3 linked regions of the Arabidopsis thaliana genome follow. The protein of the gene in region 3 interacts with the protein of the main gene of each other region in a biochemical or structural test. Each region holds a gene or a part of one and is shown on either strand. Other genes may lie near its edges.

Region 1 (4,510 bases), on a different chromosome or scaffold from region 3:
ATTACTAAAAAAAAAAGTAAATGAAGAAAGCAATACCTCATGCAGCAGCTTGTGATATGATCCAAAAACAAATCGGGACAGCTAAAGGTCTTGGCTGGTACAAGCAAAAACTCGGTCTCCTTGAGCCCATCCAGCTTCTTTCAGGTACTACAACATATTAAAAAGATTGCACATGTCAAAATGACTATTACCATATCCAAATTTCGATTGTTTCCTACTTTCCTTTTATCTTCAACAGTTGTTTCCTTTTTCTTATTTGAGAACGTTCGAGAAATCTGGACCGTCTATTTTCATCATATTGCAACTGTGAGATCTGATGGTGATTATCTAATCTAAACGGTAAGTTTGTTAGATTATGTGGGACCGGGACGATCTATTTCTTAAACCTCTGTTACAAACAAACACTCATGTCTATTAGTATTAGGAAATAAGAGATGGATATGATGATGATTCCGAACCAATTCTCAATAAACTGTTTATAATGGAACAGAAGCAGCAGTGATTGATGATCTAACAGACATTGACATCAGGCTACCAATGCTAGTCTTCCTGTGGGAGATAGAAGCGGCCTTGGTTATGCCGAGTTTTCTGTTGATCTGTGTTTATGTAATCACCCGAGGATGCAAACAATTAATCCCATCAGCTAAAAGACTTGTTTGATTCAAAACAGACTTTAGCAGATCATTTGTTTTTCTTATCTACAGAACATAATATATTCTTTTTTTGGTGATATTATGATTGGGAAACATCCATTTCATTTAACCAGAAAGCATGGCAATCTTTTCTTTGAACAAATCTCCATAAATTACAGACAAAGATAAAGCCGGAAACAAGAAAATGTTGCAGATAAAATCTAACAAAAGAAAGAACAATCGAAAAACTCTTCTTCTCCTTGTAATTTGCTCACAACAAAACCTCTTCTTCAGAGCCTCTTAAAGTGGCTTTCCACTTGTCTTGATATCATTTCTGATTGCTCCTTGAATCATCTTAACGATCAAATACTGCAAAGTAGAAGAAAGGATTTCACTTGTTTACCAAATTCGAACAAGACAATAAATCAAACTGTGTCTCTTTCTTACCTGAGCGCCTATGATAAGAGGGATGAGTTTCTTTCCTTTATCATCAGAGTAAGATCCATCTACCATCTTCTTGTCTACATGAATTGCTTTCCTCTGGTTTGTTGCTACATCAGTTATCGCCTTAACCAAGTTCGGGATCCACGCTTCACCATTTGGAAGAGCCTGAACCGAGAGCAGGTAAGCAACTTTTAACAGTCAGTCTCTCTCCAAGTCGGATCAAATCAGAGATTCGAAAACACAAACCTTTTCGTCCTTATCGTTCTTGCTGCATCTTCCGCTGTTCTCTGCATAGACTACCGCGATTGCAGAATCCTACAAGCCAGTAAAGAATGAAACTGATTCTTGCTACAATGAACCAAACATACATTGGTATAACAATTTTCGGAGACAGGTATATGTATAAATAACCATACCTCAAACTCTTGTTTTCGCATCTTAGAACCAGCCCGGATAGTTTTGAGGAGAGAATCTGATCTCTTGGAGGAAAAAGTTTCGTAGGAAAGTTCATCGGGAGGGGAAAATTGAGCATGAGTCAGAACAAGCAAGGTTTTGCACCATATCTCTTTTCCAAAGGTTTGGGTGATTGCTATAACAACTTGCTTATCTAGCTCATCGACTCTATACACATCCAAACGATCAACATAGAGCAAGACATCTATTGTTCTGTTCACAAGAAACCTGTCCAAAATCCGAGAAACACAACAACTATCGTAAAACTTCCACACACACTCCAATATACAGCTTCAGCGTAAACCAGATACTCATAATTCACAATTTCAACAGAAACCCACAAGTAAACATGTTAACCACATATATACTTAGCTTAATTAATTCAAAAACGAATGAGATAATCCTATATGCAACAATCAACGAAGAGATATTCCAAAAGAGTAGCTACTGACCCTTTGATTAACTCGAGAGCTTGGTGATTGACATATCCAGCTTCCACAAGTCCAGGGGTGTCAATAATGTTGATAGTGAACCCTCCCATTGTTCTTGAAACCATCACTGGTCTCAATCCTTCAGCCTACAAAATCAACAAAACAGAGCCATCAAATATCTTGAAATGACTACTCTTTCTTAATCCAAATTAAAAAAATCAAGCTTAGGGAAACTGAATTACGTACTTGGAAAGGACTGACACGGACGACTTGTTCGCCGATAAGAGAATTGACAGTGGATGATTTTCCGACACCGCCTTTACCCAGAACAAGAACTGTCATTGAGTTCATATCCTGCAATTACAAAAACCTCCCATCATTATCTCCTAATCACAACGGAGAATCCGAGAAACCGACTTAAGCACCAAAGAAACAGGAACAACAACAACAAAACACACCTTTTGCTTCAATTTTCCGAAGAATTCAATCAGCTTTTCCTGGGTAGCTGCTGGAAATTGCTGAAACCCAACCCATTCACGAACGAGAGACCCCATCACTCCTAAACCCTTCAGCAAAAAAATTCTTTTGGTAAATAATCGCTGAGTGATGACGATGATGATAATTAATTTCGAAAGCGATAACGTTTTGGGAGATTTGGAGGAGCTTACCGTTGTGTGAGGAGCGTTTGAGGTTTTTGGAAGAAGCTCTCTCGATGTGTTCCGCAGAGAAAAGCTAAAGAATGTGACCTTATCGGTAATTTGTTTAATAGTTCAAATTATTTTCACTTTTACTCCTCTATTTCTTTAGTGTTTCTTTTTAGTGCCTTCAAATTTTGAAAACTAACAAACTCAACCCCAAACCAAATCCAGTTACCAAGTTGCAGCATTACACTTCATATTTTCATGGAAGACTACATTAGGTGGAACATTGAATTAGCATAGCGTCACGGGAGCTCAAGCGATTCTCTGAACCTTTCTTCGCTTGTAAGTCAAGGAAAACAAATGGTCACTATTGGCTTCTCGAGCATGATTGTCTTCGCTCAGGACCCCCAGCGGTTTTCTCAGAGCCTTGGCTTCCCTCTGAAAGTTATTACTAGACGAAATCCTCTTGCTCTCTGTTGTTTCAGAGCCTCTGTCAACAGTCCTAGGCTTAAAACCAGGAGACTTCAGGTGGTACCGGACATATTCTTCTTGCTTTAGAGGTATATTCTGTTCTGTGATGGAGTAATTTGAAACACGGAGAGCACTGGGAACAGTGTGTGTTGGATCATGAAACACCGGTTCTGTACCTTGGATTGATCTTTGTGTAGTTTCCAAATAGGTTAAGAAAGGGTCTGGGATAGAACAGCCAAGAGTTCCGTAGGGTGGTTTCTCAAATGTCGTACCTAAGTATGGAGACGCTGCAAATCTAGTACTCTTTGAACCGGTTTCATGGATTTGCAGGAGATTGTTTCCTGGAGCTACATAGGGTTTCCTGAGGATGGCAGAAGAAGATTTAGGGACTAATTTGAGAACACCCTTTGGCAAAGTCTGATGATGATGGCCAGCAGAAACTAAGCTGGAACCTTGATACCGGAATACTCCTTCCTTGGTTATCTTTATCTTGAGACTGTTCTTGGAGCTGCCACTGCGAGGGAAGGTTAAACTTTTCGATCTATTTCTTTCCACGGGTTTCACTACATTGGGAGTTTTGAATCTACATGTAGCACTATCCATTTCCTTAGATGGAACTCTATTGAGGTCCAGTAGCTTGAGATTACCGGTTTGAGTTCGTCCTGACCAAATGAGGAGCCTTGAGTAATTGCCCAATTTATTTCCATACTGAACCCACACCCTTTGCATTTCGGTAAATGTCCTGATCAGCTTTTCATGATAGAACTTTAAAGAGTAGTAATACTTTCTCCTCTTGACAAACATAACACCTTCTTTGAAACAAGCTACCTTTGGAGTAAACAATCCACCTAGCAAATTCTTGTAAAACTTATCCTCTGGATTCCCAAAATATAAATTGGCACCATCAAGAAGTTCCTGCATCGTCAAACTGAAAGTCTGTGGATCCATATCTGGCAGAAAACATGAGAGGAAGAATCTTTCTTCTTCAGTCAGAAGTGAGTTCCAAGTCTCAACAGACAATATTCCCGTTAAATCTGGTAGATCGTAGAGCTCGTATGGTATGTTACAGAGCTGACCTTCAACCAAAGCTAGCTCACAGTTTACTTGCGCAATGTCGTAATCATCAGAGTCATCATCTTCAGAGTCTAGCCCAACTGTTTGATTCTTATTCATCTGTAGTTAACCACTTACTACCCTTAAAACACAAGTACTTCAAATCTCCAACCACAAACTCAGTAGAAAGGAACACAAGCAGGAGATACCTAGATAGAAAATGTTAAAGACTCATCATCAGCAATTCACATTACAAGAATTCTACTACAATACAATGGACAGCGAGAAGCTGAGTATGTTACTAATCAGAAATCAAACGAACATAAATAGCATTTTACTCACTGATTTCAGCAACAACAACACTAAAGGCTATATAAAACACGAA
Region 2 (4,943 bases), on a different chromosome or scaffold from region 3:
AAGGAAAATGTCATCAAAAGTAGGATAATAAACTACATATTTCCGCCCAAAAAAAAAAAACTAAAAAAAAACTACATATTTCCACAATTTGATGATCTTTATCAGAAAACGATGCAATCTATGTTAGAAAATAAATTATGTTACAGATTTGTTCACAAAACCTCTACCAACTACAACTTTTGAAAAATTGGTACAAAAGACCATAGGCTACAATTGGTTGGAAGAATAAAGAAGAGAAAAAATGTTAGTAGGTGCAATATGCGACGACGGAGGAAGTCAAGCAAGCAACAAGTTTAGTTCTGCTGTCAACATCGCTTACTTACGCTTCAGGAAAGGATCAATGCTTTTGAAACAATCTCATCTCCTTTTCTTTTTCTTACTTCAACTTGTTTTTTTTAAGGCAGTAACAATTAGTAAGGATGAAAATAATCACATTATCATTAAGCTGAGATGTCAAAGCGATTATGATGAGAGGAAAAGAAAATGAAAATAAGTATTGGTAAGACATCTTAGTTTTAATAATCGTATATCAACCAAATTTGATCAATAATTAGCTTAAACCAACATATCATTTTAGAGGCCTCAACCTCCTTTGAATAATTAGGCTGATACTACATTCTAATGACAGATGAATAACGTACATCTCCACTTTTTAAAACAAACAAGATTATGTTATTTGATTTAGGTATCCGTATATGCCAAATATATTTTTCTGGATGTAAGAACCACGAGTAACATGTTGATGATGTGTTTAAGTGGTAAAAGGAGAGGAGAAAACTAAATTTTGGGACTGTGTTGAGCTCTTTGGGCAATTGATAATATTGCAAAATCTCAAAAGAGGCTGTTTTTTTTTTATCAAGTAAAAATACACACATTGTGTCTATTATGGTTTTACTCTTTGATCAAATCCTGCATGTGTTGTGCATAACTTCTTCCCGGTGGAATGAATATTACATCTTCCCAACCTGAATTCTTCTCGCTCATCTACATTGATTCAATTCAGATTTTTATTAGACTACCAGGTTTTCATACTTTAAGGTTTCTTTAAACAAAGAAGAAGCGTGAGTACCTCCATTTTCCTCAACACATCTTCCAGACTCCCAACCTGCAAAACAAAAAGATTAGTTCCATGGTGAAGATAAGAAAACTCTTAACAAAACCAATGCTGTGAAATTACTTTATATATTGATCTCTGATATGCAACTTTGATAACGATAAACCTTGGAATTCATTTTAACTCAGATATATGAAGGCATGTACAATCTGAATTCCGCTCTTTCTAAAGTTTTCTAAGACTTTTCCCTTTCCCTCGCTGTTCCTTTGAAAACATGGTGTTATATGTTTGCAGAACATGTAATCACAAAAAATGCTAGAAATTACATATGATGCCAACACAGCTACTAGCTACTCCCACTTGTTAGTAAACCATGTCTTTAGATCAAGGTGTTTGTTTCTATCTTACGTGGCCTATCGAAGATTCAAATACATAGAAGGTAGGTATGAATCATTACCATAATTTGTTGATCTCCTCTTGATGCTCTCGTATATTTAGAAAGTTCCCTCTCTATATCTTCCTGAAAGTGGTCACGCAGAACAGGAAAGTAAGAGTTATCTTCCTCTGTTTTGGCTTATGAGAGATCTATTAGTATTCTTTAACGTGGGAGAAGAAACTAACCAACCTTACTGAAATATACAGGGCAGTAACGTCTATTTTTTTTCCTCACAACAAGAAGCTCAGACTGTAGAGGCCAATAACAACAGATAGATATCAAGAGAAAACAAAGCAAAAACACCAAAACATAAGGAATCCATATTGGTATAATAGAAAAACACAGAAAATGAGTATATCAATTTACCTGAAAAACCGGAACTCCATCAAACCCATTCTTATTTCCTGAGGATTTGAGCTGAGACGCAAGAAAATATAGCTTATGGATAAGATTGAAATGCCAAATAAATGCTATAGACACATATAATTAAAAGTCTGTTTAGCATGAGCCAACCTCTAACGCATTCTTTATTTGGATTGGATCTGGCAAGAAGCGAAAGGAAATCCCTTCAACTTTTAGCAAGTACACCTGTAAACAACATCATCTTAACTTCTGGGAATGTAGCTACCACGATTACGCAAATAACATCAAAAAGTTCCCTAAACGTAGTTATAACTTATAAGTTCCAAGCCATTAGAGGGATTATAATCATGCCATCGTTGCATTCTTTCTTGTGACGATGTTGTCAACATTGCTACGTGCACAAGAACACAATCTCCCGTTCATTCAAACTGCCAACAGGTGTTCCTATTACCGTATAATATAAACAACTAAAATGAGGCCAGACATGAACAAGTCTACTTAGAATTTGAGCTCCTGAAATTTGTTTGTTTCATTTGATTTAACCAATGGCTTCTTCCACATTGATCTAATGCAGTGATCATAAGGAAAGGGAACTACCTGGTCCAGAGTAATGGGAACAACCTTCGCATTGGTTTTCAATTCTCTTCTCCGAAGTCGCGCCTAAAGGAGTATATTAGAGAATTATGAGCTCAGAAACTTCACATTTTTTTAAAAAAGTTCGGAGGAGAAAAATACAACAAAAAGCGAAACCTGAGCAAGAAAAGCTTCAGCATCCTCTTGTCGAAAACAGAGCAAACCGATAGACTTGCCTCCGGTAGGATCCGAGATAAGAACGAATTCGTTATTGGTGTTACTGACTGTAAACACCGACGTCCCAGCGAGAGCTTTAGCGACAAGAGATGGACTCAACGTCGTCGTCGGGGTTCCAGACTTGGATTGTGAGACGGAGGCGAAAGGCGGCGGAGTAGGAAGAGAGAAACGTCGAGTAGCTAGGGTTTCGGCGAATCGTTTCGTGTCTTCGATTCGGGCGGAGAGGTCGGAGCTGAAGCGGGTACACTGGTGGTGAATGAAAGAAGAGAAGGAGAGGAAAGGATTGGGTTTCACTGATGACTCCATTTTTGGATTTGCAGAGAGAAGAAAGAAGTAGAAGAAGAAGAAGCAATTTTTGATACTATGAAGAGAGTGAAGAAAAAGGCTTCAGAGCAATTCGTTTGGGCTTTTTTATTTGGGCTTTATTGGACTTGATTGGTTTTAGTTTACGTTTAATATGGCCCTTGATCAAAAGTTTGGTGACAAAGCATTTATTAACTTTCTAAACTCAACTTCCACACCATTCTAAACACATGACATGACTTACAAAAAGCTTTTGTCACTCAAAATTCATGTCGATGACATTTTTTTCCTCCAAATTTCTCCTCCTTATAAAATACTTACTAGATCAAGCAAACAACACACTAAAGAAAACAAAATTGTTAAAACTCTCGTTAACTGAAAAATATGAGGAACATTACTACTACAACCCGAAAAATGTTACTACTTGTGATTACGATTTTATTGGGGATTGCGTATCATGGAGAAGCCATAGCATGTCCGCAGGTAAACATGTACTTAGCACAATGTTTGCCTTATCTAAAAGCTGGAGGAAATCCGTCTCCAATGTGCTGCAACGGACTTAATAGTCTAAAAGCCGCAGCGCCTGAGAAAGCCGATAGACAAGTAGCTTGTAATTGCTTGAAGAGTGTAGCTAATACAATCCCTGGAATTAATGATGATTTTGCCAAACAACTCCCTGCTAAATGTGGTGTTAATATAGGAGTCCCTTTCTCTAAGACTGTGGACTGTAACAGGTAGCTACTGCAGTTTCTTTTTAATATTGCCGAAACATGTGTAGTTGTGAGAGCTTCTAACTACATAATCCTCTAATTGACCTATTTAATTTGTTTTGTGAACACTGAACAGCATAAACTGAAAAGAAGATTGACTACCAACGGCCATGCAGCTACAATAAAGTGGATATCCTAAAAGATCAAAACCATCATGAACAAATTATATGGATACTTAGTATTTATCTTCTGATCATATATGTTATAGATGTAATCATATAGTTCTTGGCAGATAAAATGTGATTATTTCCCACATTTACATATTCCCTCTTTCCTACTCTCACACGTAGCTCAACATCTTAAAATATGATCATCAGCATTTGCACACAATGTTTCACATTTATTTGACATACACGATCAAAACGAAGCAGTTTTGTAACAAGATAAAAATCGATTGGGTTAAAAGTGTAACGGGAGAAGTAAAAATGTAGTCATCACTCATCATAGTGACTGAATTCAAGGGAATATTATTCTTCGAAATACCTGAAAGATGGGAAATTTGAATTTCAGTAGTGAATGACGCCCAGACTCTTCAACCAAGGGAGCATCTCCTCCAATCCTTCCTTTAGGCTTCGAGGGTTATAACCAAGTTCCAGCTTAGCCTTATCACAAGAGTATGACCACTGATGTCTCAGCACTGTCACTGTCTGTTCATCACAAAATACTAAGAGTTGAGATTATTCTATACCTAATAAGATAATCTATAATATGTGGGCAACTAATGAATGCAATTGAAACTCACCGGAGGACTGATAAGTGGAAGCTTTCCTGTAACCCGAGAGATTAAAACAGATAACCATCCGTATGCGTTGATGGCCCATAATGGAATGCTAAAGTTTGGCTTTTTGGTTCCAGTAATCAGTGCAGCCATGTCAAAGACAAGCTTGAAAGAAGCATTTTCCCCAGTGAGTAAGTATCTTTCACCAAGCCTACCTTTTTCCATTGCAGCAACATGACCCTCCACAACATCATCAACATGGCTGAAGGAGTATCTATCCGTCCCAGAGCCAATATATCCAGGCAACCTCCCGTTAAAGCGCTCGATCAACTAGAAGAACAACATCATGTGATAATCAACCACATACTGTCAATGTACCACTACATCATCCCACCAATGCAACTCTAATCAGCAAAAGGAAGAATCATACCATTCTAGCAACCATATTGGCTGAAGTGAGCTTGCCTGGACCAAAAATAACACCAGGAT
Region 3 (6,073 bases):
CGACGTTCGATTTCTTCTATTTTTTTAATTAAAGACATTTTAACGAAGAATTGATTTAGCTGGGCCCCAGATTAAGACACGTGTTTCCTTCTCTTGTACTTCATCCTTCTAAGTTTTTTCTTTATTTTTTACTTTTGAAGAATGTGTATTCAGTCGTATATTAAAATAATTAAATTATCTAAATTTTGGGTGCACAAAAAAAAATATAATTTAAAATTTAATGAAGTTTTTTTATTTTTTTAATATCTATGAATTTAATAAAGTTTAAGATGATTTTATATACTTATTTCAAAATTTCTCCTCGCAAAATTTGCAAACGTTGGATTGCGAAAAAAAAATTTTTTACTCGAACTTTTCTCTTTAGAACATCTCCAACTCATCTTTATTTTTGTCTTTAAACTTTATTTTTGCCTCTATTTTACTCTAACTCATCTTTATTCTTACCTCTATTATAGAGATCTTTATTTTTTTTCTCTATATATAAAAATAGAAAATAAAAATCTCTATTTTTCCTTCTATATTTATAAAGAAAAATAGAGACAACCATTAGAAATGGTCTTTTCTATTTGCTAAAAGAATCTCCCAACGCAAATAACCAATTTTCTTGTAGAGGCGCTCTACCAGAAGCATAATTATGTTTATAAAATAACGAATATAAGGAAATATTCGTATTTTCTCTAATTTAAAATTCACTACAGAAGAAAGTGTAAAGAAATTTAGACACAAGTGGACTAACAAAAAGCTGAGAGTTAGAGGAAAGAAAAAGAAGATAAAACGATGTTACAGTTTTACAAACTAAACGAACCCACCGAAGACTGGTTTTATCTTCACGAAGGATTAAGCCTTAAGATACCGTTGTTTCCTCTAGTTTCCAATATAGCCGAGACGGTGAAGGACCATTGCTAAAACGAGCATTAATATTGCAAAGATCAATCCGCCTTTTCCGAACAACCACTTCTTTGCTTTCTTCGCTTTCTCCATCCCGGTTTGAGCCCGATCCGCCCATCGCATCTGCAACAACGTGTTTACAATTGAGACAACTATACAATCAACTTTGAATGTTCTTTTGGTTTTACTAAACCGAATTCGTACCATTTTCTCCAAGGCGTCGGGAGAAAGAGAAGCCATGGCTTGCTGAGCTTTTGCAGCGTCTTCTTGAGAAAGCTTCATTCCAAATTGTTCGCTCATGCTAGCCATCATCTCAGGGTTCATGTTCTTTATCATAGACGTGAACATCTACCAATATACAGAGAAACTACTATATGAACATCAACAATCACATTATGTTGACTAAATTGGTAAAACATAAACCGAAAATGATCAAACCTGTCGCATCGCTGGATCTTTCATTTGGTTTCTCATCTGTTCCTGTAAGTCAGCAGGCGGAGCAGAAGGGATGCTTGGTTCGAAACCGCTTCTTGGAGCCACAAAGGAATTTCCCGAAGAACTCCCACTCGCTCCTAAACTTTCCCGTGGTTCAGATGCTTCTGCATTGCCGTATGATGTTGAAGCTGGAGCGTTTGCTTTCAAAGACGATGCCATGTTAAACATCCTCTCACGCTCTTCTGGTGACATCTTACCCATCATATCAGATGCAAGTTTAAGCATGTCAGGTGTGGGTGTAAAACCGTTTTCGGTAGATGGCGCAGTCGGGGCGAAAGGGTTATCTCCTTTAAACGAAGAGGCTGTTTGAACCATTTTTTGAATCTCTTCAGGTGACATTTTGCCTATCATACTTGACGCAGTTTTGAACATGTCCGGTGACATGTCTCCAGCTTTGCCTCCGCTTAGAGCAGCAAGTGTATCGGGATCAGTTTTTGAAATGAAATTCTGGAAAGTTCTGCAGGCCATAGAAAGAATAAAAACAATTAGAAAATCATACTAATCGTGCCAAATGTAGCAGAAAAAGGATGCTTTAGATTATATTTGTCTTCAAGATTAGGAGACAAAAAGATGAAACAACACATCAAACACTAATGTTTGGAAAGGTGTCGAACCTGATTGCTTCTGGATTATCTCTGAGAGCTTGCAATCCATCAACATCAGTCTTTACGCCCTGAGCATGACCATTAGCCTCTTTTGACGGTTTTTTATTCTCTCCGGAAGTAACATTATTTTCTTCAGTTATGTCTTCAATCACCACACCTAATAACCAAACAACATAACATTTTTCAGTTCGTTTCCATATTCATGGACGAAGCATATCATTGATGTAGTAAAGAAACGTCTGGTCTGACATAATACACTGAATTCTTTCGAATAAATCATAAGGAATAATATTATACCTCTTGATGCCTTGCCAGGTCCCTCGACAGCCAATCTTTCCTTAACATCTCTGCATCAGAAAAGATAATACTTCAAGTCAAAAGTTATTTTTTCAATGTTAATATCAAAACCTCTGAGATAAGCAGAACTGAAAAGTATGACATTACCAGTAATGAATATAAAAATCCATACCTTAACACATCGGCAATTGTCTCATCTTCTGGGGAAACTTCATGGGCCTTGCTTAGATCAGAGACGGCATCCTTATAGTTTAAGAGAGTGAATGAGCATTGAGCAAACATATAGTCAGGACATATCTACAGTACAAACATATATATCGACAAGGAATCTCAAGAAAGTTCCATAAGCAACAGAAGAACTCACTTCAAACAAGCCCAAATCTCTGTAAGCTTGACCCCTTCTGTATAGGGCTTTGACATTCCTTGCATCATATCCCAAAACCTGAAATAATGTAAGAATGTAAATTTATCAGAAGAATGTCGAAACAGTTTTGAATAGATCATAAAACGCTGTATGACATCATGTGTTACATCTACAAAAAAGAAGCCAAAAGATTGCCATCTCTCTTTTTCCTAAAAATGTTTTCATCTATGAGTTTTCAGAAAATTAAGAGCATAAAGAATATACCTCAGAACCTTCCTTTATGCACTCTTCATGCTGATTCGTCTTCAAATAACACGACATTAGATTGAGAGAACAAGCCAACAAAATTGCTCCACCTTTAGAAGATGGAATCTCTTTCAGATTGTTCTTCGCCTGAGATATGGTCCAAGAGCATTGTAAACAAGTAGAAAAGAATCGCATATCAGGTTACAAATAAAACTCTTCTTGTCAAGTAGCATGACAAATGAGATACGTCTGCAGACTTACACGCAAGTATTTCTCTGCGGCATCGCTGAAATTTCCTCGGCTATGAAGCTCGTTTCCCTGCCAAACGTAGTAGAAAATGAGATTAACATCAAATTACACAAAGGTCCACTTGCTGAAGCCATTCTTGTTCCTTACTTTATAATCAGGAAAGCAAAATTCAATAGAAAACTTCTCTCAGGAAGTCAATTGTTACCTGTTTTTTAAGCATCTGAGCTGCATTGATCTGATAAGTAAATTGAGCATCAGCATGAGCACGCATAGCTGCAATATCTTCAGGGGAAGCTTTAGCCATCTTCTCGCTAATCTCAGCCATATCTTCAGGCCGAGTATGCTTAAGCTGTTCCGCAGCTTGTTTCAAATCTTCAGGCCTCATGTTCTTCATACTCTCTGTTGCCATATTCATCAAATCTGGATTTGACATCATCTGTATAATAAACAATGGTATAAATTCATCATACAAAGCCATAATCAAATCAAATCAAACAAATTCTCCTCAGAATCGATCGAATAATTCGAATCAGGAAAAATAACGAAACCTGTTGTTGGATCCTAGCGAAATCAGCAGGAGTCATACGACTCATCTGATCTTGAGCGAGCCGAATCATCTCAGGATCCATTAACCCGTTAAACATCGTGTTTTTTTTTCTCGAAGCTTCGATGTGGTTCTCTGTAATCAGATCGGAAACACAGAAAATCGAAATTCGCCAGAGAAGGATAAGCTCGGAATCTGGATCGAGATTGAGTTTGTGAGAATCGGAAAATCGAAGGAGAATTGTTTTGCCGACCCGAAAGTAGTTTCCAATAATATAGAATCGAATTGGAAAATTTATCGCTCAACCTCCTCAATTCACCGACCGGAATATGCCTGGATGATGGAGAATGACTGTTTTACCCTTGATCTACGATGATGCTGTGACGTGCCATAATAAATTAATTTACGTAATTGTATTGATTAACGTAACTATATGATTACGTGCAAATTGTCATGTCCTTGTCCATGTTGGAAGACTAATCTCGTGTTTTTTTTCTTCTTAAACTGAAACGAATCTCTTGTTAAACTCTTTTTTATTTCGTTTTAGAAAGAGTCGTCCAATTTAACTGTTACACGTGTTAAAGTGTCAATAAAATTCAATTTAAATTTGTTTGAGGGTACAAATAATTTTTTGATATTTTAAAATTCTTTAGGGTCTGGATATCGATATCATATGTTTGCCCAGCTACATCTCCATGATATAAGCTCCGAATGGTGATTGCGTTTTGCGGTGCGGGAGAAGTACGGTGCGGTTCAAATAGTAACGAAAATATATAGATACATATGAATATGTAGAGATTTTAATACTGTTACAGTACTGTTGCGGTGCGGTTTTAAGTGCGGTTTTGATTACCATTCAGAGCCATAATATATTTGTTGGAATCCAAAAATGTTTAGTATTCAGTTTCATAGACTCAATCTCTAAAGTAATCCATTTATTAAACTTTAAAATATGCATGTCTTCTGCAGAATTTTTAGTATCTTAAATATCAAAATGATCTTAACAAAAAAATACATATGTACAACTATTCGGGCAAAGAATTTTATTTCAATACGACAATCTTTTCAGTTGTTGAACGAGTTTTAGTGTTTTGACCATACAAAGAAAAAAGACGAGTTTTAGTGACATATAAGTTGTGTTTGGTAATACTTTTTTCAATATTGTTTCGATATAGTTTCATCGACGAGTACATCTATCAATTAATTTTTCTGAAATGTTTATTTCTCTCCACCGCAGCATAAATGTTTCAATGTTTGAAAGAATGGAAACGGTGGTATAGTCACATTAGAAGAGGACCACTTTGACTAAAGCTAGCTACAACTCTCATCTATCTCTCGTCTCCCAATTTTTCAATATTAGCAGAGATTATGATTCACTAAATGATAGCAGTCTGAGAGAAGTGAATGTTGATATGATTTATGATTATCAATTAACTAATCACTAAGTACTATTGCAGCGAGAACGAGGAAATTCTAGCAAACCTCTTCTTCTTGGTCACAATGAAACCAATGGATTAATAAAGTTATATCATATAACAAACAAGAAGGAAACAATATCTTCAACTTATAATTAATAAAGCAATATTGCTAAAGCATTCTGATACATGTTGTGCAACATCTCTCGAAGCTAGATTACAACATGCATGTGCTTCTAAATAGATTACAACAAAGCAACTTTTTAACATGTTTACACGAACCAAAATATGCATACACATATATAGCCTTGATTTTATAATTCACATAGCCCTTGTTATCCTTTAGAATACATCGTAGACACATTCTTACGTATTCTACTATTATATGGCAAAGCAATCTAGGATAATGAGTGAGTTGTATTTTTTGAATGTACCCTCTATTGTACAATGAAAACGAATGTAAATATTCAGTTTTGTTTTTGTTGCCCACATTTTATTGCCGTAAATTGCAAACTATTTTTTTAAAATTGATATGCTAGGGAAAAAATGAGTTAAAGAGCATGATGGAGGAAACAGAAAGAAGAAGGCTTTGAATTTTGATGGTTGTCGGGACGTGGAGAGGATCTCACGTGGCAGTTTCACTCTGATTGGGTCCTAAACCGCCGGCCCACGTGGCATGCCACTTGTCACTGGTACTTCTCTTTCTCTCTTTCACAGCAGCAAGTTGTGTACGATTGCTGTTCTTATTAGGATCCGTCACATCACTTCTCAGCCGGTCAGCCCCCACCTTCCTCCATTAACCCATCAATCCGGTCTTTCGTTTTTGTGTGTATGTTCTGTGGACTTGATTGGTAATTTGGTAACATTTACCATTTGAATGGTTGCTTACTAGCCTAACTTTTTGTTTACAAATGTGCAAAGAAGTTTTTTTTTTTTCTTCGCTTGTAGACTGTACTCTTATTCTGAAGAC

What was found.
Region 1: the proteins of TPR7 (region 3) and TOC33 form a complex in vitro, tested with the Arabidopsis thaliana proteins (one study listed by BioGRID).
Region 2: the proteins of TPR7 (region 3) and Tic22-IV form a complex in vitro, tested with the Arabidopsis thaliana proteins (one study listed by BioGRID).

What each region holds. Positions count from the first base shown.
Region 1 is NC_003070.9:447,733-452,242, forward strand, and holds TOC33 (translocon at the outer envelope membrane of chloroplasts 33), read right to left. Parts: upstream 2,695-4,510; 5' UTR 2,629-2,694; intron 2,527-2,628; 5' UTR 2,515-2,526; coding exon 2,419-2,514; intron 2,315-2,418; coding exon 2,207-2,314; intron 2,107-2,206; coding exon 1,982-2,106; intron 1,758-1,981; coding exon 1,493-1,757; intron 1,392-1,492; coding exon 1,323-1,391; intron 1,242-1,322; coding exon 1,080-1,241; intron 1,002-1,079; coding exon 933-1,001; 3' UTR 691-932; downstream 1-690. Other genes in the region: AT1G02290 (uncharacterized protein), read right to left, coding at 2,914-4,245. UniProt on the Arabidopsis thaliana protein: GTPase involved in protein precursor import into chloroplasts. Seems to recognize chloroplast-destined precursor proteins and regulate their presentation to the translocation channel through GTP hydrolysis. Binds GTP, GDP, XTP, but not ATP.
Region 2 is NC_003075.7:16,063,747-16,068,689, forward strand, and holds Tic22-IV (Tic22-like family protein), read right to left. Parts: upstream 3,152-4,943; 5' UTR 2,970-3,151; coding exon 2,604-2,969; intron 2,514-2,603; coding exon 2,451-2,513; intron 2,079-2,450; coding exon 2,004-2,078; intron 1,908-2,003; coding exon 1,857-1,907; intron 1,740-1,856; coding exon 1,680-1,739; intron 1,575-1,679; coding exon 1,512-1,574; intron 1,106-1,511; coding exon 1,070-1,105; intron 985-1,069; coding exon 892-984; 3' UTR 691-891; downstream 1-690. Other genes in the region: AT4G33355 (Bifunctional inhibitor/lipid-transfer protein/seed storage 2S albumin superfamily protein), read left to right, coding at 3,351-3,700, 3,813-3,822; FLDH (NAD(P)-binding Rossmann-fold superfamily protein), read right to left, coding at 4,243-4,383, 4,479-4,784, 4,885-4,943. UniProt on the Arabidopsis thaliana protein: Involved in protein precursor import into chloroplasts. Imported into the intermembrane space via the Toc translocon. May be involved in the import pathway used by proteins without a cleavable N-terminal pre-sequence.
Region 3 is NC_003076.8:7,271,110-7,277,182, reverse strand, and holds TPR7 (Tetratricopeptide repeat (TPR)-like superfamily protein), read right to left. Parts: upstream 4,113-6,073; 5' UTR 3,789-4,112; coding exon 3,693-3,788; intron 3,581-3,692; coding exon 3,350-3,580; intron 3,214-3,349; coding exon 3,157-3,213; intron 3,043-3,156; coding exon 2,914-3,042; intron 2,728-2,913; coding exon 2,650-2,727; intron 2,529-2,649; coding exon 2,458-2,528; intron 2,336-2,457; coding exon 2,286-2,335; intron 2,146-2,285; coding exon 1,998-2,145; intron 1,841-1,997; coding exon 1,327-1,840; intron 1,237-1,326; coding exon 1,093-1,236; intron 1,012-1,092; coding exon 865-1,011; 3' UTR 604-864; downstream 1-603. UniProt on the Arabidopsis thaliana protein: Plays a role in protein import into the endoplasmic reticulum (ER). May function as chaperone docking protein during post-translational protein translocation into the ER. Chaperone receptor mediating Hsp70-dependent protein targeting to chloroplasts.